Danio rerio: one gene and its partners. The protein of the gene in region 3 binds, or shares a complex with, the protein of the main gene of each other region. Links are inferred from orthologs where the notes say so. Each region holds a gene or a part of one and is shown on either strand. Other genes may lie near its edges. The genes, in order: pex19, pex5 and pex14.

Region 1 (7,472 bases), on a different chromosome or scaffold from region 3:
TACAGTATTTGGCGATACAAGAGTCAAGCGTATTTCACTACAGTGTCTTTTACAATATTTTACATGTCTTTTTTTCAAGCTTGATGCAGAGTTGGCACCCCTTAAAGATGTGTTTCAGAACTACAGTAATAACAGTCAAGATCCGGATACCAAAGCAGTGGATCGTCTCCAGAGTGAGGTATTTGCATCATGGCATTTCTAGAAATTCTGTTTGTTTGCAAAATCAGATTGTGATCATTTTTTTTGTTATAGTTGCAGTGTTGTGGTGTCATGAACTACACAGATTGGTTGCAAACGCCCTGGTTTAATCACAGTGGGAAATATGATGTTCCTCAAAGCTGCTGCAACACAACCTTTCACTCGTGCAATGGGACTTTAGATGCACCCATGCTTCTCTACAATGAGGTACAGTCACTAATTCTTTTTGAGCTACCCATAATCTAAAAAATATTTTCCTATTTTTTTGTCTCTCCATGATTTCCTGAGTTTTAGCTGAGGCAGTACTATTGCATTAAATTCTGTTTTCTGAAGTAATGGATTAGAATAATTCATCTATGTATTTTGTCTTTTTTTTGTTATAACTACTATTATAACTACTTTATTAAAACTACTATACCACACTGTAATGTATATATTTTTTCTTTTGATGATTTGATGTCTTTTAAACTGTTTCCCAGTATTGGGCTGCAGCTGGAAGGGCACTTGGAAGTTGGCAACTATTTTAGTTGGAAGTTGGTCTAGTTTGAATAGTTGGCAGTTAATTCTCCTGTGGCAACTCCTGATTACAAAGAGACTAAACCAAAGAAAAATGAATGAATATTTTTTTAAAAGATAAGAAGAAACTTATCCATTTTTATTATAAGTTTATGGAGTATATAATGTTAAATCGGAATATAGATATTTTTAATTAAAGGTGCACTCACACTAGGGTGTCCATACCATGCCTGGGCACATTTTTCTGGTTTGTTTGACAAGTTTGAGTGCTCCCAATCGGGTCCAGGTGCTATTCAGTTGGTTGGCCCTGGCCCGGTTGGAAGAGGTCTGCCAGAGCGCAGTTCAGTTGGACTTTTGGTGCGGTATGTTTGTAGTGTGAGTGCAAAGCGCGGCTGAGCCCGAAAGCGAAGATACAACGTCACTTTTAAGGGACTGTTTAATATGGATTTATTGATCATTCTTCCTTTTAAACAAACACGAACTGTGATAGTTTTTTTAAAGACGCAAACCTCTCGCTGCACGTCAGCTGCCACCTTCAGCAAACCTCTTAACACGTGCAACACAAGGACTTATATTATAATATATCAACATCAAAAGTTGTGGATCTGTTCCACAAAATAATTGGCTGATTGTCACTGCATCCCAAACGACTGAAAGTAATACAAAACTTTTGATTGTATTTTATCTGGAAAATGTATTTAAACTGTTTAGACATTGTGATATTTAAGGAAATATTGTGTTAATTTTCTCACCCTCAGACCATCCAACATGTATATGTGACTTGTTTGCTTCAGTATAACAGTAAAGAAGTGAATGTTAGCTAAACCTGTAATCCTTGGTGATTTTTAAAGCTAAATAAAGGAAGTTAACTGCTTCTGACACTTGGCAAGAGTCAAAAAATGACATACAGGCAATCAGAATTTATTAGAAATCTGTTAACTTAAAACTGTGGCCCTTGACAGTACATTTTGGTCTTTAATGTTCTGCTACAGAAAAAAAGTCACGTACATCCTGAATGGGTTGCAGCTTCAAAGGCATTAGCATGTGTAAAACATATCCTGGCTAAGTTGGCGGTTCATTCAGCTGTGGTGACCCCTGATGAATAAAGGGATTAAGCCAAAGGAAAATAAATGAATGACTTTGTTATGATCAACAATCACATTTTGTTTTGTTTTTCTATTCCAGGCCTGTCAGGTTAAACTTAAGGAGCTATTACTACTTGTGGTGCACATCATCCACATAACATCTTTAGTGGTTCTTGTTTTGCTGGTGAGCTCTGTGATTTGAGTAATAATTCATTTATTTATTATTGAAGTGTATAATATATTTACAGTGTATAGATTTGATGTCAATTCTAACCATTCCCCACTTTAGGTATTGTCTTGGATTACAGTGGGACAGCTAATGAGATACCCAGTCCCACAAGAGTATCGAATTCTGGACCAGGACTAAAAACATCCAAATATCTTTAAACAATATTCCTAAATGCCTGCATATTACATTTTAATGTCTTTTTATATATCACTTGTTATTATCTATTCTAATACATAAAGCACTCCATGTTTTCCTGAATTTCTAAGGTGTGACTATTCATATTTTTATAGATGTTTTATTTACACACCAAGGCATTTACTTTGCACAATAAAATAGATACTACTGAATAAAAAATTTGTTTGTTTTTTAATGTTGGCTACAAATGCATTGCTGGCTGTTGGTAAAAATGAAGACAATGGGGTATATGCACACAGATTTTTAATTTCAGTCAGCCAGAATCTAGTTCATGCTCTATGGTCTTGTACAAAAAATTCTAGATTTCTGGAAAAGAGTTCATAAACACATTTGTTTGGTTGTAGATTTTTATATCACATTATGCCCTAGACTATACTAGGTGGTTAGGTGGTTGGATAGACATTGAAATAAAAAATTAAGACATAAAATCCTGGGTCCAAACCAGTTTGCTGATTGGGAGACAAATAATTCTCATGAGTTTGAAATCAGAGGATGCCCCTTCCCTTCAAAAATGGCCGGTAGAACTTGCTAGAGTGGCCACATTTGGAAGAAAATGTCTTATAAGCAAATGGACTAAAGCTAAACCTAAACTATAAAACTGGTCCAAGTACTTAACCTGTTTGTAAATGGAATAGTAATAAATGTGTGAGAAACATACTGATTGTGACAGTGTAACTGTGATATGTTATTGACTGAACTTACCTATTCATTTTTTTTATTGTATTTTATTTTCTCTTTATTATATAAAGATGGAGGCTTTAACTGTATTTAATGACAGCTAAGCCGAGACCTTAAAGTCGTAGTTAGGGATTAGTTTGGGTTGGGTTTGTTAATAGGGTAAACTGTTGGTTCTTTACAGAGTTATATACTGTATTCCATTCTGAAATTTGCCCGAGAATCAATAAAACTATTAAACTCTGAAAAATCTGTGATCATCACTGCCTGATAGATATCCGGGATAAAGTGGGTCTCAGATTGGATGAGAAGCACTGCACAGCCATGTCTTTAAAACATTTATTTTACCACAGTATTTTCAATTGAGTCTCTGCGCTAGCCTGCTGCTAATGACGGCCCCTACCTTTATTTAAATGGTCTTACATCCCTTTTTACTCTTTAACAACCAAAACGAATGCTTAAGTCTATTTAACCGATTATATTTGAATCACATTACGACATTGATGCGGTAAAAAGAACCGTATGAAACTGAAAATAGTCACATACACCTTTCACTGGAAATTCATTAGCTGAAAAACAGCTGTGCATATAGACCATTGTTCAACAAGACAACATTTTTAAAATCAGATTTAAGTTCTCATTTTTCCTGTATCATGAATTTTGTTTCATTGCAGGGCAAATATCACACATTTATTTGGGTCAGCAGAAAAAAATGCTAATTATATTTTGTGAAAGTATTTCAGAGCTTCAACTACTTACAGACCCGTAGCCAGAGTGGATTTGTGTAGTTCGAAAGACCCACCCCCCCCACAGACAAAGGTCCAGATTTTGTATCATACGTGAGCTCATTTGTCCCATTTTGATTGCTAAGCCATCATAAATTGTGAAATTAAGATATCAATAGCTTTAAGACCAAGCAGAATGTGTCATAAATGAAGTCATCTTTCACCACTGACATATTGTATTGTTGTTAAATAGCAAAAACATTTTACAATGAACTTTTATTCTAAGTCTTGAACCTTATTTTTGAAAGAAAAAATGACCAATAAAAAAGTGTAAAGCACCTAGACGTTAATTATAATAATGATTTGACTATTGTTGTAATCGATGAATTTTCAAATGTACTATTTTTTACAAAAGAGGCTGGAAAATTGTCAAGCTCTACATTATTATCATTACTGTTTTAATGATTCAATATTCAAATGGAAAAATTCTGCCTGAGGAAATTGAATTTGATGCTCAGTTTGTTATTTGCCTAATAAATGACAACCATTTTAAATTTAAAACTTTAACAGATTACATTTTTTTCTAATTATATAGGATAAGTTAGGGTAATAAAGTTAAGTATATTAAGTTAAAAATAAGTATTTTTTCTTCATGTTTCTTCATTTTAAATCTTTAGTAAATATTTTTAGTACATCAAAAAGTGTGGTATGTTGACCATCTGATAAGCTAATCCAGCTAAAATAATGCTTAAAATATCTCTAAATCAGCATTTAAACCTCACAATTAAAAAGAAAATGAAGCGAATAACTGCAAAAAGGTCCACTTTTTAGAAAAAGAAAACCATCCCTTTCACCAGGCTGGCTACGAGCCTGATTTAGACTATATCAAATATCGGCCAGTGTCAACGTATTTATTCATCTACTGTATTTTTTGTCATTTTCTACAATGTTTATTCTTGCTATTTGTTCTTATTCCTCGTTTGAGTGTGTTCGTCTTGTTCGCATCATGACGGGAGATTCTTTAGATGCTTCATGTTTACTTACTTGTGCTGTAAAATCTTCCCCCAAATAAAAAGAAATGGAAAAACGACAATAGAAGAGACAAAAACACGTAAAAACTATCTAGTTGTATCATAAGCGGCGGTTTATCTGCATTTGAATGGATTGCGAATGTGGGAGGGGTCGAGACTTCCGCTTCCTCTGCTGAGCTCCCTTGTGGCGTGTTTTTTGTGTCACAAGAGCGCAGCGCCAAAAAGCCACGTTCCGCTAAAGCTCCGCGTGCGTTCATTCATCTGCAGATTCGGAGAGACGTTGAAGTCGGTAAGGGTCCAAATATACATGTAACGTGTGTTTATGTCTTTAAAGTTGCGTTTAATCGTGTTTATCAGGGTTTAGTAACGTTATAACCCCTTCGGTGTCTGAGGCCTGGCTTTATGCGGGTTAGGCCTCTTAGCGCAGCCTGCTCGAGTTTGAACTCGAGAGTTGCATGGGATTTACAGGACGAGTCATCGCGAAAATACGGGGACGGTGTGTGGGGATTGAGGCCTCGTGTTGGATGCTGTTTTGATGTTAGATATATTTTGCAGCCTTTACTTACATTTTTAAGCATGCTGTGTAATTCTACAAGGTTGTATTTCTGTAGCTAAGAGACGAAACCTTAACAATGGCGAGGTAATCTTACACCAGCATGACCGGAAGAGCGACGTCCTGCTGCGGGCGGCTTGTAAAATGTACGCCCCCACGACTAGACTGAATTACAAAAACTCTTTGTTTCATTTATGAGAAACTAACAGAGGCAGAAAAGTGTAGCGAGTGTTTTTTTTTATTCCAGTGCTTTTTTAGTAACGTCCACCGCCTTAAATGTTGCATAAATTGTGTCGTGAACAAATGAATGAAATGATACCGAACTGTACCTGGAGCCGCTTTGTTCACTCAATAGGTGGAGAGAAAATGTTTTCTCACGTTGTCTGCTTTAATTTATGATTATAATTGTTCATTTCTTTATGAAAAGGAATGTATAACGTATTGTGTACTTGAAAAATGTTTCACAAAATGCGAGATTTTTTGCCATGACAATGTGGGTCTGAAGAGAGAAATGAAATGTATTTTACATTTGTGTAAATGTGGTAATACAATTTGGGTAATATTTATGATTATTTATGATTATACGCCTTTATTTGTGGACAGTTTCATCTCTACTTCTGGAGAGGTCTGTAGAATAGAAATTCACTGTTGTTATGTTGAAAGGAAAGCAAATGTGTAGAATAAATAATTTATTGTATAGTGTAAATTATGCATGAACAAAATTCTACAAAATGAAGAATAATTACAACAATACTTACATTCAACACCATTAAACAACAATAAAAAGCCATTGAGGAATAATATACAGGTAAGACAACATAGGTCTGTAAGTAGGCATGGGATGATAACCAGTTTCAAGGTTTGGAAAGGTCAAGGTGGGTTTTTTTTTCTTTGTTTTTTATAAATGTGTAGTAAAGAAATCTGTGTTTGAAATGAGGCTGGGTTAATAATCTATATTAAATCAAATCTTGATAATTAGTCAATAATAATAAGCTCTGGACTTTTTTCCACTCTATATTGATCTAAGAGCCGATCACACAGCAGAAAATGCAATAATGGTAATCTAAAAGTGTGTTGTTATTAACACGGGGTCTTGAAATGTCCTTAATTCCAAAAGCTACATTTTTGGCCTTAAGTCTTAAATCTACCAATATATTGTGTTGTGGGTCTTAAATCTTTTTTTTTTATAACAGGTCTTAATTTTCTTTTGTTCACGTATATCTTCCCAATCTGGCCATTAACATACGAGCATACAACAATGTATGCTCATACAATCACCAACAATCTCAATACAATTTTTATTTATTTAAATATAGCATTTTTAACGCCATTTAACAATGTTTTTTTATTACTTCCAGTAAAATTTGTTTAGTAGTTTTGCATTTATTTACTGCAGAGTATACTGACCAAAGCTATATTTTTTATTATTTAATTATTATTGTTGTATTAAATGTATTCAATTCTGAAAATTTTTTGATTAGGCAAGTGAAAATCTTTTTCTGGCATATTCCAAAAAATTCTTAGCATTTACCTTGTATAAGTTTAAAATTTTATTCATAATTGTCTTAAAACGTCTTAAAAACTCTTAAATTTAACTTGATAAAACCTGCAGAAACCCTGTATTAGAGATGTATTGAATTTTCAGCCACTGAAAATTTATCTGCCGAAATTTTTTTGCTATTTCTTGAACTAATTTTTATGGCTTCAGTCATTGTTGAGATACTCTTTTTAAATCTGGAAACATTAACAACTTGTATCAAAAAATATATCGTTATCGTTTAATATAGAAAGTAATTATCAAGATTGCGTTTTTGCATATTGCCCAGCCCTAGTTTGAAACTAATGAAGGGAGCAGAAATCAATGATTTATTTTTATTGTATAGGCTGACATGTTTACAGCTCAAATATTAGAAATGTTTCCCAAAATAAAATTTATTTTGTTCAATGGTGAACTGTTTTTTTTTTTTTTTTCGTTTGTTTTTCAGATATTTAAAAGTACCTATTTTAGAGTACAGTGGTATTTCTATTAAAGGTTATCTTGCCATCAGAAACTTATACCGACCTATGCCTATCTGTAAGTGCAGGAAAATCTGCAAATAACTACATGTAATATTGACATTGCAGTATTTGCATTTTTAGAGTTTTTTTCCCATTTCCAGAAGTGTTTCTTTAAGGGGAAAAAAGCTCATTATTATTTATAAAGAACACCATGTATTCTCAGATTTGTGTGAAGGCAGAATAGACTCAAAGTGAGGTGCTAAAAAT
Region 2 (6,921 bases), on a different chromosome or scaffold from region 3:
TCTGATTTATTTCCACATATGAAGGAGGCCTGAAACCGCTCTCTTAATATCCGAATGCATGCGTTTTTTCGTGTTTACACGGTCATAGAACAGATCTGATCTGTGTCACATATGAGCAAAAAATCGGAATAGGGTCACATTTAACTAGCAGTGTAAACGGGGCCTTAGTGACCTCAGGCCTAAATTTTTCAATAAATAAACATGCTTTGTCCAAATGGACCCAATAAATATCTGGAAAAAAGCAACTGCTCCATTTGTTCAGGCTGGGCATTTCTTTCTTAGTGTGCAGAGTTGAGCAAAACGGTTGCAAACAACATGATGAATCTATGATTTATTAGGCTTTTAATAAAAAAATATCAATCCATCACTTAATTTTTTTTACAATAACCAGCAAACTATCCTAGGACTGAGAAGATGAACAGTAAGATGAGCTAACTCAAACCACATAGACTGGAGGCCCAGATACAATGAATTAATCTTTCCTGTCTCTTATTGACCTTATTCTGCTGACGAGTGGGCGCTGCCATTTGAATCTTTTTGGCAGGAGACTTCCGATCTCATTCACTTTCATTCATTTTTAGACATTAAAAACTGCTTGTTTCGCTGTTTGATGTTGCAAACTGATATTTCCTTGTTATATTATTCTACTTGGTCTGTATAGTCATGCAAACATTTGTTTGTAGAGCAAGTAGTTTGACAGTTTTTTTGCCGTTTATTATTCCTTGTCATTTCTCACATAGGCGACTGAAACGGAAGACAATCGCGAAAACAGGCGCACTTCCGCATTTTAGAATAAGGTCAATAAACTCAAAGATGCTTTATAGATTTGTTTAAGATGACACTGCTTGCGTTTTTGAGAATTACATGTAAGAAAATCAGTTTGTAACATTTAAATTATACTCAAATGATTCGAACTTCCCATTACTAGACTTATAGGCTATAGCTGCAGTCATTTTTTTTTCATTTTGAGTTATGCTTATATCAAATAATTCCCTGTATGTTGCAGACCTTGTACCTTTATTTTCTGTTTTCCCAGAAATGATTCTCTATTTCCCTGGGGAGTGCACAAACTGATAGAAGAGCACCATGGCTGATACTGAAATCTTGTGGGAGATAGAAAAGTGGGGCTGGGTTTGTGAAGAGCAAGTTAAAATTAGACCCAGAAATGACATATCTATTAAGCAGGGAATATTTTCAAGTCAATAAGTTATTATTTTAAATGTTTAAACTAATTAACTACTAAAACAATACAGTTGAAACTTTAGTAAATGGGTGAGTAGATGGTTTTTAGGTGAAACCACTCTTTAGGTGTAAATGAAAACAAACCTGTGGTGTGACAGAGAGTGCGGCAGAGAAACAGTCCACAGCCTTGTCATACTCTCCACTCAGATTAAAGAGAACACCCAGACCACACTGCAGCTCCGGGTCCACCTGCGAGGGCTCAGCCGCCGCTGCATTCAGAAACAACGTCTGCACTTCACCAAACAGTGCTCTAAGAGAAACAAACTCACATAAATTAATTCAAATACACACCATCATTAAAGCTCATGTTGTTTCAAAACCCTTCTGATATTCAAAACTATCCTAAGTCAAAATACAGTCATTTGTACAGTAACACTTTCAAGGGCCTTTTTTTCATGTCGTCCTCATTTTTGTTTTACAATCTTCTTTAAAGTCCTCTTTTTGTGCTATTAGGAATAAAAGGCCATAAGGATCATTCAGGTCTGTAATGAAATGGTAAGTAGCATCAGGTCATTAATCCAGAGTCGTTCAAAAAACTATTTTAAGATCTGCAGAGTATTTTCAGATGGCCACAATGCTGCGTGCAGATGTAAAGACACACCTGTGTTTGTGTTAGATGTATTTTTAGAGGAACTGCTCGCTTATGATTGTGACAAATGTAAATCTCTTGCTTGGTTACAATGTCCAGTCCAGTGACTTCTGCATGTCTCCAGCTGATGTACAAATGTGTTGAAAACTGGCGGCTGGAATTGAATACACATCTGATCAACGCACAGTGTCGAATAGTCAAGAACAGGGTTTAAAAAAGTATTTTAACAACACCTGTGGCATATTTGCGAAAAAAATTTCTGTCTCATTACTCAAGTTTGTTTATTGTTAAGCAGATATTATGGTTACAGTAACACACAAGGTGAACTGAATGCCAAAATGACACGTCATAATTTTGTGTGTTTATTACTTATTTTATGATTCTTAAAATATGTTTATTAATGAATAAAATTATAATAGCCAAGATTTTTTTTAGCTTTCACATTAATCAATCTCCGATCATCCATAATGACTTGTTTTAATGTAAATGTGACACTGGAGCACAGACATTTAGTTTTACATTTGCATAATTTAATTATTAGCTTTTCATTAACCCATCAATCTTTCATTTAACCAAATTTGACATATCCTGGCATATTGTAAAATTGAGTGAATGTCTTAATGATGTCAACAAAAAATGGAATAAACATCATTTATTATTGTTTGTTTTATAACAACAACTACATTTAAGCCTATGTTCTTAACAAGTTAGGTCAGAAGTAATCTAAAGGTAATTCACAAGTAATGAGAATACATTACGCCAGGGAGTCATTTAATAGATTATGTCGTCACCTTGGAACTATAAGGTTCTATCTGCATTCTTAATGATTTTAAGATAATGAGCTTTACAGTTTTTGTATTCCATAGGAAACAGTATGTGTGTAACATTTGTTTTTTAAATAAAAAGTCTTAAAATGTAATAATTAGTGTAAAAAAAACATCCCATAATGTAAATAAGTTTTCATTTAATAAGAATATGTGAATAACTCAATTTTGAAAAAAATGTCAGATAGAACATAATTCTACATTCTCACTGACTACATTTTTAAGAAGGTAATCAATGTGTAATCAGGAGCACTGTGTTAATATATTTACAAATCGTAATATTTTATTTTAATTTTAATAAATTTTTAAAGCATATATTTTCTCATAAAGGTTTTTGATTTTTATGTTTGATTATTTATTGCCACATCAGCAACTTATGGCAATTTAATGGCAAGATCCATATTTAAAAAAATGACATTATTACATAATAACAACTTCACAATTCAATAAGTAATTTTTCCCCTCGTAATTTAAAAACTTCATAATTCAATTATTTTATTTTTTACATTAAAAACATTAGGATTTTTTTAGCTCAATATATGATTTCCCTGTAAAGGTCAAACGGTATCATTTTTTTTTATTATCGCATCATTTTAATGTGCTGATTTACTGCTTAAGAGACATATTTTATTATTAATATTATTATTATCAATGTTATAAGCTATTGTACTGCTTAGCATTAGATTTGTATTGTTTTAAAATTTTGACGAAAAGTAAAACAACATAAAAGTCTTTGCTGTCTACAAAACCTAACAAAAAAAAAAAAAGAAATTAACATGATTTTTAGTTTATCATTTGGTATCAGAAGTGGCTTATTTGAAAGGCAAAGGGCTCTAGATTACACTTATTTTACCATAATAAAATATAATCAAGCTTAAATTTTTAATTTATTAATTAAGACAGTAAGGTCTGACTTTGCTTTGACAAAAGTCTTGTCTCTTAACAAAAGTAGAATATAAAATCATGGAAAAAGAATGAATATTGTGTATGACCCCTATCAGCTTGAAGGACTGCATCCATACATCTCCGCAATGACTCAAATAACTTGTTAATAAAGTCATCTGAAATGGCAAAGAAAGCGTTCTTGCAGGACTCCTAGAGTTCATCAAGATTCTTTGGATTCATTTTCAATGCCTCCTCTTTCATCTTAACTCAGACTTGCTCAATAAATGTTCATATCTGGTGACTGGGCTGACCAATCCTGGAGCACCTTGACCTTCTTTACATTCACTGAAAAAATCTAAGTTCTGCCATTTTTCCAAATGATTAACTAAAAGTTATTATTTGTTGCTCTTACAACTGGGATTGACGACAAGACATTTGTCAGGTAATGTATTATGACTACTATCTTTATAAGATATTAATGTACAGGACTGTGTACAAACTTCAGTTCTCAGTGTGGTGCAAAAATCATAACGTAGTGTTGCTCTTTGTCTACTGCACTCATGTAATGTACATCTTATACATCCAGCATGTGTCTGAACAGCCTTTAGGAGTCCTCTTACTCTGGCAGAAGGGATCCAAATCTTTCACTCTCTTTCTCTCTCTCCCTCGCCCCCTCCCTCTGCTTCTCTCGCTCATGCTGCTCCAGGATGATTCTGTATTTGGGGTTGTGCCTCAACCAGTCCCGGAGCGTCTCGCAGGCCTGTCTGTGAAGCGACTCGTTGGTGAAGCTCACAGCAAGAGCCATTAGAGCCGTCAGATTGTCCTTTTTTAGCTCTATACATCTGAAAACAACAATGGAGACTTTACATAAAAAAACAAAGTGCACACTGTTTTAATACATCAGATCGGTACAAGTAGGGAGAATTTTATGCGTTTAAATATATTTTATTAAGTAATTCATTAGGTGGTGCATTACAACTGTTTTTTATAATAAAAACACACAAATAAAACATACAACAGAAATGTTATTATGAAAAAAATACCTTTTATCATTTGGAGATATATAAAGTATCTCCAAATTATAAAAAAAACAGTAATGAAGACATAATAAATATTATTAATCACAAGTTTGCAAAGATCAACCCAAATATCAATCAAAATCTTGCAACAATAAATACAAAGAAGTAAATAAAAATAAATAGAAATATAAACGAACAAACAAACAAACGGGCGAACAAACGAACGGTCACCACTACTCTCACATGGTCAGTTCCTAGATGGGAGACCATATGAGAAGGCTGTTGCCAAAAGTGGTGTTAGTGAGACCAGCAGGGGGGGCTCTACATGCAGTTTGTGTGGGTCCTAACGCCCCAGTATATTGATGGGGACTCTGTGGTCGTTAAAAATCCCAGGATGTCCTTCGAATAAGAGTAGGGGTTTAACGCCCGCATCCTGGCTAAATTTGCCCACTGGCCTCAGTCCATCATTGCCTCCTAACCATCCCCATACCATAATTAGCTTCATCACTCTCCTCTCCACCAAGCTGGTGTGTGGTGTGCAATATGGCTGCAGTCACGTCATCCAGGTGGATGCTGCACACTGTTGGTGGATGAGAAGAATCTCCCCAAAAATGCAGTACAGGTGAATTGAGTAGGCTAAAATTGTCTGTAGTGTATGAGTGTGAATGAGTGTGTATGGATGTTTCCCAGAGATGGGTTGCAGCTGGGAAGGGCATCCGCTGCATAAAACATATGCTGGATAAGTTTGCAGTTCATTCCCCTGTGGCGACCCCAGATTAATAAAGGGACTAAGCTGAAAAGAAAATGAATGAATAAATGGTTCGCCATGCATTTTCAATGTCTCTAAAAACAAAAATATTTCAAAAGTTTTGTGATTTTGGAAACATAACAGAGGAGACAGACTGCAATCTATGAACTGACACTAGCCAACCAAAGCAGATGCACTCGGACGCAGATATATTTCCTACCTCCGGAGGGCGCTGATCGCAGCAAACTCCTGCTCGTTCTCCGCCTGGCAGGTGCCCAGATATTGCCAGGCCTGCAGTATCGTCAGACACGCACAGTCAGCGTTTCAGAAAGACATAGAAGGAAACAGAGCACTGTCAGAATCCCCAGAGATAAAATGTGCCATGAGTTTTGGATGTCAGGATTATAAGTATGAGTCTCTGACCAGCTGGTTGTCTGGCTGTCTCTGAACGGCGCTCTCGAAAAGGCGCACAGCTCCAGGAATGTCTCCCGCCTCCATCCGCTTCACCCCTTCTGCAAACGGATCCTCATGGGACAGGTAGGGGTTGTCTTCCTCAAACTGATATCCCTAAAAAAAGTAAGAAAGCAGGCATTTGGAAGCAATATTTAAAAGCAAATATTCATAAACTAGTCTTCAATTTCATTTATTCCTTTAAATTTTTTCTCTTTAATTTTTGGCCATTCTCTAAAAGTTTTAATTCCACAATAAATTAGGATTTAATCTATCAAATATGATGGATTTCAGTCATAAAAATGGAATCAGCTGTATAGATATACAAATTTTTAGATGTAATGTACACCTAATGAAATAATGATGTGATCTAGTGTCTATGTATGTTAAATGGCAAAAAGACTTCTTAAATGTTATTTTTAAATTGTTATAATATTGCACATTATCACGTTTTTTATTAAAATAAATTAATAATAATTCAAATTGTAATAATTGTAAATTAATATACATTTTTATAAATAATATTTAAAATATTTTAATTAATAAATGCAGTAATAATACACACATCTGGAATATGAACAATATAGTAAAACAATAAAGTTAAATAGCCTCTCTGTGCAAAAAAAAAAAAAAAAAGGGAAGAATTTTATGCATAAAATGTAATAGTTTTATTTTTGTATATTCTTGCTCTGCAAATGAAAATTTGTTCAAAATCGAAGCAGAAACAAAGACCAAAACTAACATGCATGCACCATAACAAAGCACAGACTACTGGCTGGAAAAGAGCTCAAATTTTCCAGTTCTCTGTGCTGTAAACGGGCACAGATGTACACTGTCCAGATACCTTGTCGTAAGAGCTGCTGAGCATCTGGTCGAAGTCTGAGAGCCAGGGGTGAGCTTCAGCATCCCTCTTGGCCATTTCCTCCCACTCCTGTTGGAGCTTCTCCCAGAAATCAACATCGCTCTGTATAAAAACACACATACATACACACAGACCAATGAGTTAAAGCCAAAACAAAACAATCTTAATCTAATCTACAGACTTTAGGGTGACAGGTTTTAAGAAAATGAAAATTGCTAAAAAGTTTATATTTTGCAGCCGTGTTCATTTCGTCAATAAAAATTTGACAGGTTTGCTGTGCAGAAATGTGACTGAATGCACAT
Region 3 (6,921 bases):
GAGCCAGACTGGGAAGAACCACCTGTGGTCAGATTGTATTTATCTTTATTTTTAAACAGCACTGAGTCATTCACTTTTGCATTCTTTTCAGAGTAAAAACTTTGAATAAAAAATTGAATATTAAAAAAGTAAAGTTAAATAAAAAAAATAAGGTAATAAAGTGATGATATGCATAGGTATAAAAAAAAACAATACAGTAAAAGGACTTTAATTTACATAACAACAAAAAATAACTAATATTACTAATAAATTATGATTTTTTAAAAATTGTTATGATGATTAAATGCATTAAATTATTTTAAAATGTTTTAAAGCCTCTGATAAAAAAAATATAAATAATAAATACTTTAATATTGATATCATTTGGTTATTTTTAATACAAATGCATCCATATGCCCTCATTAACTTTCTTTGGACTTAGTCCCTGATTTATCAGGGGCCGCCACAGTGGAATGAACCACCAATTACTCTGGCATATGTTTTATCTGGCGGATGCCCATCCTGCCGCAAACTTGCATTGAGACATATCTTGAAGTATGGTAAAAAAAAAAAAAATTCATTTTATTTTCTTGTCGGCTTAGTCCCTTTATTAATCGGGGGTCGCCACAGCGGAATGAATTGCCAACTTATCCACCACGTTTTTACGCAGCGGATGCCCTTCCAGCCGCAACCCATCCCTGGGAAGGGAAACATCCACACACACACTCATACACTATGGACAATTTGCTTACCCATGAAGCTAATTAGCTTACCCAATTAAGCTGTGCCGGATGTCTTTGGACTGTGGGGAAAACCAGAGCACCCGGAGGAAACCCACGCGAACGCAGAGAGAACATGCAAACTTCACACAGAAACGCCAACTGAGCAGAGGTTCGAACCAGCGACCTTCTTGCTGTGAAGCAACAGCACTACCTACTGCGCCACTGCTTCGCCAAAAATAACATTGATAACCTCACTCACCCTCAAGTGAGTTTAAACCTTTATGAGTTTATGAGCATCTTTTGTTGAACACAAAAGTATAACACAAAAGTATAAACAGTATATATATATATATATATATATATATATATATAGAAGAAAGCTAAAAACGTAACCATTGACTTCCATAGTAGGAAAAAAACAACAAATACTATGCAAATCTGTAGTTTCAGGTTTCTAGTTTGATTCTGAATATGTTCTTTTTGTGTTCAACAAAAGAAAGAAACTCAAACAGATTTGGAACAACATAATTTTCTTTTTTGGATGAACTATCCCTTTAACTTTATAAACTTTACAAAAAAAAAAACAGATAACTCAAATATCTTGACACATTTTTTTTCTACATTTGTCTACAAAAGAAATAAATTCAGACAGTAAAGAACAACCCTTAAGAACAAAAGCAGGAATATGAAAGCTCTAATATAGTAAGCTGCAGGAGTCATTTTGTATTGTTTCTTTACAATGATAAAAACAAAACATAAGAGTGTCTTCTTCTTTGTGAATTGTCATTTACACAGAAGACGACACCCAGCTGCAAGTCACTAACGAGCCAAAGTTTCTTCGGGAAGTGTCCCGCTTTCATGGTTGCCGGGATGTTTAATTACACCGGCTGCGTAGTGGGTAAAGAGAGGGGGAGGAGGAGGAGAGGCATCCCTCTCTGACAGCCGAGCTGAGATTCCTCACCTGTCCAAGGCGGGAGACGCACCTGTCATCGCACACTTAATCACCAGCGCGCTCCGGGCCCAACCGGGGAGCCACACCACCACGCCAAAATTAAAATGAACTTTCTTGCCACGCAGTTAAGAAGGCAAGAAGAAAAAAAAAGAAAGAGAAACGCTGTCATTCCTCTTCCCCTCATTAATATTCTGAGGTTAAGAGCTTTTCAGCGAAACGTAATTAATTGAAGCTGAGCTGACAGTAAACAAGCAATTTCAAATTAAAGCAAAATGACAGGACCGTCATTTGTAAAATGTGAGCAGATTTTGGCGACAGATAAATGAAGGAAAATGTTAAGGAGGAAAAAGTGATGAAGATATTAATCTTCACCTGTCTGTGTCAGCGTGCCACTCATATCCGCGATGTTGCTCTCGATCCGCTGCAGATGCTTCTTGTCCTCTTTGCTGCCCATAATGAGGGGAAGGATGTATTTCTGCAATTAAAAACACGGCACGTTATTAGAATTCCTCTCAGGAACAGGAAAAACAGGCCTGTGGACTGGGACTCACTCATGTCACCATACAGACAAAAGGCTATCTACTAGCGTTAGCGTGCTTAAACAAAAACTAATCAAAAATTCTGATCAAAAATTGTTATGAATTATTAATTAACAGGACCTATTTTGCACCTTTTTACAAGATGTAATACAAGTCTCAGAAGGCCCTAGAAAGAAGATTTCTTATTGACCTTATTCTAAAATGCAGAAGTGCGCCTGTTTTCGCGATTGTCTTAGAACTTCCGATTCAGTCGCCTATGGGAGAAATGACTAGGAATAATAAACGGCAGAAAACGGTCAAACTACCTGCTCTACAAACAAATGTTTGCATGACTATACAGACCAAGTAGAATAATAAAATTAGAAAATATCAAATTGCAACATCAAGCAGCCTAATGAGCAGTTTTTAACGTCAAAATATGAATGGAAGTGAATGAGACCGGAAGTCTCAAGCCAAAAAGATTCAAATGGCAGCGCCCGCTCGTCGGCAGAGAATAAGGTGAATAGAGTAGCATGCTAAAGATGCCCATTTTGCTATTGTGTGTGTTCCTTTAAATGCAAATGAGCTGCAGTTTTCTGCCCCTTTACAGAAGGCAGAGCCTTTACAACCATGGCTCAGATACTCTCAAGAGATCTGTTTGGTTTTATAATGTATCATGTCATCATACTCATCATACTCATGTGATATTGCTAGTTCTTTACATCACTGAAGTTTAAATTCTGCATGGATTTGTAAGACTTGTCAGTTTAAACATTTTTTTTTACACGTATTTACATAAAAAGTTGAATACAACATTTCTTTTTACTTAAACGAGTTCTTTTTTTAGCATTTAATTGTGCATAAACTGTCAAAATCTCAAGCTTCAACCTGATTAATATTTTGTGGAAATCCTAATTAATTTTTTCAGGACTCTAAAAAGATTATAAGAGCAGCGTTCATTTGCAACAGAAATCTTTGATAACATGTTATTACTGTAATGTTTTGACCAAGAGCCCCTTTAAATACATCCTTAATGAATAAAGGAACTATTGCGTATCATTTTTAGATTCAGTATTTTTCTGAAACAATAACAAGGGTTTTTGAACAATCACAATTAGGGGAAAGAATATTGAGCAAATACATTTTTACAGAACAAATTTCACACTAAATTCAAATGTAATTTATTTAATTTTTCTATTTAAATAATTAATTCTATTTAATAAATTAATTAGAGATGTAATGATTCACCAAGAGCAGGTTGGAAATCGGTTAAAATACGTGACGATTCAAACCAGTAGAAATGTTGAAAGAATTGCAATACATTTTTTGAACAGAAGATGACGCTGTGTTTACAGGCGCAAACTTTCGAGCAAGAGGTGGGGCGGTAGTTTAAAATGACACCGGTGAGGTGCCCCAGACAAACACAAACTGTGTGCAAATACTGAAAAAGACGTTTACTTACACTAACAGAACAATAAATATGATGCAGCATAGTGAAAAACTACTGTGACAGACGTTTACACGCAAAAAGCTATTAATAGGCCAAACCACGCGGACCAGGGGATTGGCATCTCCGCTTGCTCCGACGAGTGCTAATGTTGTGGAGATCACACGGCGCATCAGTGTTTTCATAGCCAAAATGTAAAGATGTTTTTCAGACTAAAAGAGAAAAGTTGTTGAAAATCATGACAAAATCATGTATTTTGATATTAGTATCATGAATCGTATCGTATCGCAGCATTAGGTGAATCATTACATCACTTTTTACCACAAAAAAAAGTCCTAGAAGTCTGAATCAGAGATTCAAATGGCTTTTTCTCTGGAAGTAAATGAAGTAATTTAATATTGAAGCTACATTTATGACGGGCTAGATAAACACAGCATGTTTTTATATAGATTACAGTACATCAACACAATATATTAAACAAGGAGGGGAAAAAAATAAATGAATTTTACACGGTACTATTGTTTATGCTTGATGCTTGATTTCACAGTATCGAGTTCGGCACTGAGTTTGGCAACAGCAGATAAAACATCATTATATGAATTACAATTAATAGGCCTGCATTCATGCTGAAAAAAACAAGACCTTTCATTATTATTTTTTTTTAATCCCTCTCAAAAGTCTTGTGGTTTTCTCACTTCATCCACAGCAATTTGCCTCAATGGCTGACACTGAGGCCGAGAATTAAGCATCGGGGCATGACTCTGGGTTCAACATCATTAAGTCTTTTAGCCCACAGGCTGGCTTCTCCATTTAAACATGTCACCTTCTGAGGACAATTGCTTGTCAGGATTTAAGCCTCGTAGAACAACATCTCCAAACACCGAGAATAAGAACCAAAGGTCACACGGCTGACGCTTCCATGAGCTCCTCACGCAGTCGTTGTTTTATTTCCGAACGTGCACGTCGATTTGTTGCTCTCAACAAACAAACAGCACATAGACAAGAAGATTAACACGGCATTTGGTGAATAGCTGGGTGCTTTAAAGCGTAATGTGCATGCGCAGGCTCTCCGTCTGGAAAACAGTTGGCCTTAACAGGTTTTCACAGCAGCACAAGCGTTGTTGACACCGGCGTAAGTAATAAACACTTTTAAGTTGAAAAAATCAGAATGAGTGTCAACACTGGGGTAGTTAATAAGCGAGCTGCTGTGAGCTCTGTTTACAATGTGCTCTATTATAGCATAAATAAGGTAGAGGAGGAGGAGGACGGGGCATATGGTGGCACCGGTGAGACGGTCCTCTGACATGACAGCAGCGAGAGCTTCGCAACAGGGAACTGGACCTCCAGCCACGGGCACAGATCCTATGAACAGCAGAGATGCACGCGGGGGACTGGAGGACCACAAATTGTGTGCGTGTTTGTTTGTATGAAACACAGAGGACTAAAAAGAAAAAGGAGTGGATAGTTTACCCAAAAATGGTTTACTCAAGTATTTACTCCCCCTCAAGTGGTTCAAAAACTTTTTATGCTTATTTTTTTTCTGCTGAGCACAAAAGATAATCTTTTGAAGAATGTGGAAATTACTAGCCGTTGACATCCACAGTAAGAAAAAGTTTGGATCAAGTGAAGAGTGAGTAAATGATGATCAGGTTTCAGATTTTTACAATTTTATATCCCTTTAATGAGAGTAATTATAAACCCAATTTAGCATTTTTAATGTGTGTGATACTTTACTTTTACATTCACACCAGGAGTGACTTTATTGATTGATTGATTAAATGATTCATTCATTTATTCCTTCGTTGACTCCTTTCATTGGTTCATTGTTTGATTCATTGGTTGATCCATTCATTGATTGATTGACTAACTCAATTATTCATTAATTCATTCACCAATTCATTCATTCATTGTTTCATTAGTTTGTTCATTGATTCATTCAATAATTAATATATTTATTGATTGATCCATTCATTAATTGAATAATTCAATTATTCATTAATTCATTCACCAATTCATTCGTTCATTATTTAATTCATTCATTCATTTATAGATTTGTTGATTAATCCATGCATTTAGTGATTAATTTATTGATTCGTTAATTAATTTACCGATTCATTTATTCATTAATTTATTTACTGATTCATTCATTCATTGATTCATTCATTTATAGATTCACTGATTGATTTATTGATAGATTGATTTATTCATTCATTGATTCATTCATTGGTTTAATAATTAACTTATTAATTAATTCACTGATTCATTCATAGATTCATTCATTCATTCACTGATTGATTCATTTCTTTGCTGATTCATTTATTCATAAATAGATTCATTGATCCATTGATTGCTTGATTGATTCATTCACTGATTCACTCATTTATTCATTCCTTTATTGATTTATTCATTAATTCATATATTCATTGACTCATTGAATGAATAAATTACTCATTCATTCATTCATTCATTCATTCATTCATTCAATCATTCATTCAATCATTCATTCATTCTTGAATATATCTAGGTCCAAGTCAACAAAGGGCCAGACCAAATGTTTCTGTATTGATATACTTTAAAATGCAATTTATTTAGAAAGCTGAATTTTGAGCAGCCATTACAGTTTGGGAAAATCGTATTTCTAATCTTGCAAATTTTCACACAGCTCAGCAAACCAATAATATTTAGAAACTCAGTGGTCCCTCATAATTCATGGGAGTTACGTTCTAAAAATAACCCGCAATAGGATGAAATCTGTGAGGTAGTCAGCATTATTTTATACAATTAAATTATTATAGATGTTTTAATGCTGTAAGACCCCTTACTACACACTTTATACGCTTTTCTCAGACACGCATTAACATTTCATACTTTTCTCTCGTTTATACATTTGAAAAGTAAAAAAAAATAAGTGCAGTGTTATAGAATGTAATTAAAGATCAAAACCATTTGAACATTTATTTATTCCGTAATGGCACCCTACAGCCACGTAAACGTCTACTTTCCTTTAGCAAGTCTAGAACTTTTTGTGCGACGATTAGCATCTTCAGCACGCTGCTAGTGATTGAAGGTTTATGTAAATTTGGCAAGCTGAATACATTCTGTACTGTACAGGAGACACGGCACAGAGGAGATTGATTGACATTGGTCAACAGCCAGTCAGGACGCAGAACACAATGCGCTGATCAGGACGCACACAAAGCACTGTAGAAAAAAAAACACGTGAAATTGCACGATACGCGAAACAGCGAGGCCGCGAAAAGTGAACCGCGTTACAGCGAGAGACCACTCTACTACAATATTCAA

Evidence for each region.
Region 1: the proteins of pex14 (region 3) and pex19 are in contact, whole or in part, in an NMR structure (PDB 2W85), measured with the Homo sapiens proteins. The link is inferred for Danio rerio from reciprocal best matches to the Homo sapiens genes PEX14 and PEX19. Residues at the interface, in NP_004556.1 of Homo sapiens: Leu28, Thr31, Ala32, Lys34, Phe35, Asn38, Ser39, Arg40, Val41, Ser44, Thr48, Phe52, Lys56, Leu58; in NP_002848.1 of Homo sapiens: Gln67, Phe70, Phe71, Leu74, Phe75, Ser77.
Region 2: the proteins of pex14 (region 3) and pex5 are in contact, whole or in part, in an NMR structure (PDB 4BXU), measured with the Homo sapiens proteins. The link is inferred for Danio rerio from reciprocal best matches to the Homo sapiens genes PEX14 and PEX5. Residues at the interface, in NP_004556.1 of Homo sapiens: Thr31, Phe35, Asn38, Arg40, Val41, Ser44, Pro45, Thr48, Arg49, Phe52, Lys55, Lys56; in NP_001124497.1 of Homo sapiens: Glu59, Leu62, Val63, Glu65, Phe66, Leu67, Gln70.

What each region holds. Positions count from the first base shown.
Region 1 is NC_133177.1:40,111,009-40,118,480, reverse strand, and holds the start of pex19 (peroxisomal biogenesis factor 19), read right to left. Parts: upstream 4,931-7,472; 5' UTR 4,912-4,930; coding exon 4,668-4,911; intron 3,149-4,667; exon of another isoform or gene 2,167-3,148; coding exon of another isoform or gene 2,089-2,166; intron 1,984-2,088; coding exon of another isoform or gene 1,900-1,983; intron 406-1,899; coding exon of another isoform or gene 253-405; intron 179-252; coding exon of another isoform or gene 80-178; intron 1-79. Other genes in the region: tspan37 (tetraspanin 37), read left to right, coding at 80-178, 253-405, 1,900-1,983, 2,089-2,166. UniProt on the Homo sapiens protein: Necessary for early peroxisomal biogenesis. Acts both as a cytosolic chaperone and as an import receptor for peroxisomal membrane proteins (PMPs).
Region 2 is NC_133191.1:12,422,355-12,429,275, forward strand, and holds part of pex5 (peroxisomal biogenesis factor 5), read right to left. Parts: intron 6,722-6,921; coding exon 6,602-6,721; intron 5,875-6,601; coding exon 5,731-5,874; intron 5,599-5,730; coding exon 5,528-5,598; intron 4,383-5,527; coding exon 4,161-4,382; intron 1,493-4,160; coding exon 1,327-1,492; exon of another isoform or gene 605-1,326; intron 549-604; exon of another isoform or gene 1-548.
Region 3 is NC_133198.1:31,827,002-31,833,922, reverse strand, and holds part of pex14 (peroxisomal membrane protein PEX14), read right to left. Parts: intron 2,129-6,921; coding exon 2,026-2,128; intron 1-2,025. UniProt on the Homo sapiens protein: Component of the PEX13-PEX14 docking complex, a translocon channel that specifically mediates the import of peroxisomal cargo proteins bound to PEX5 receptor.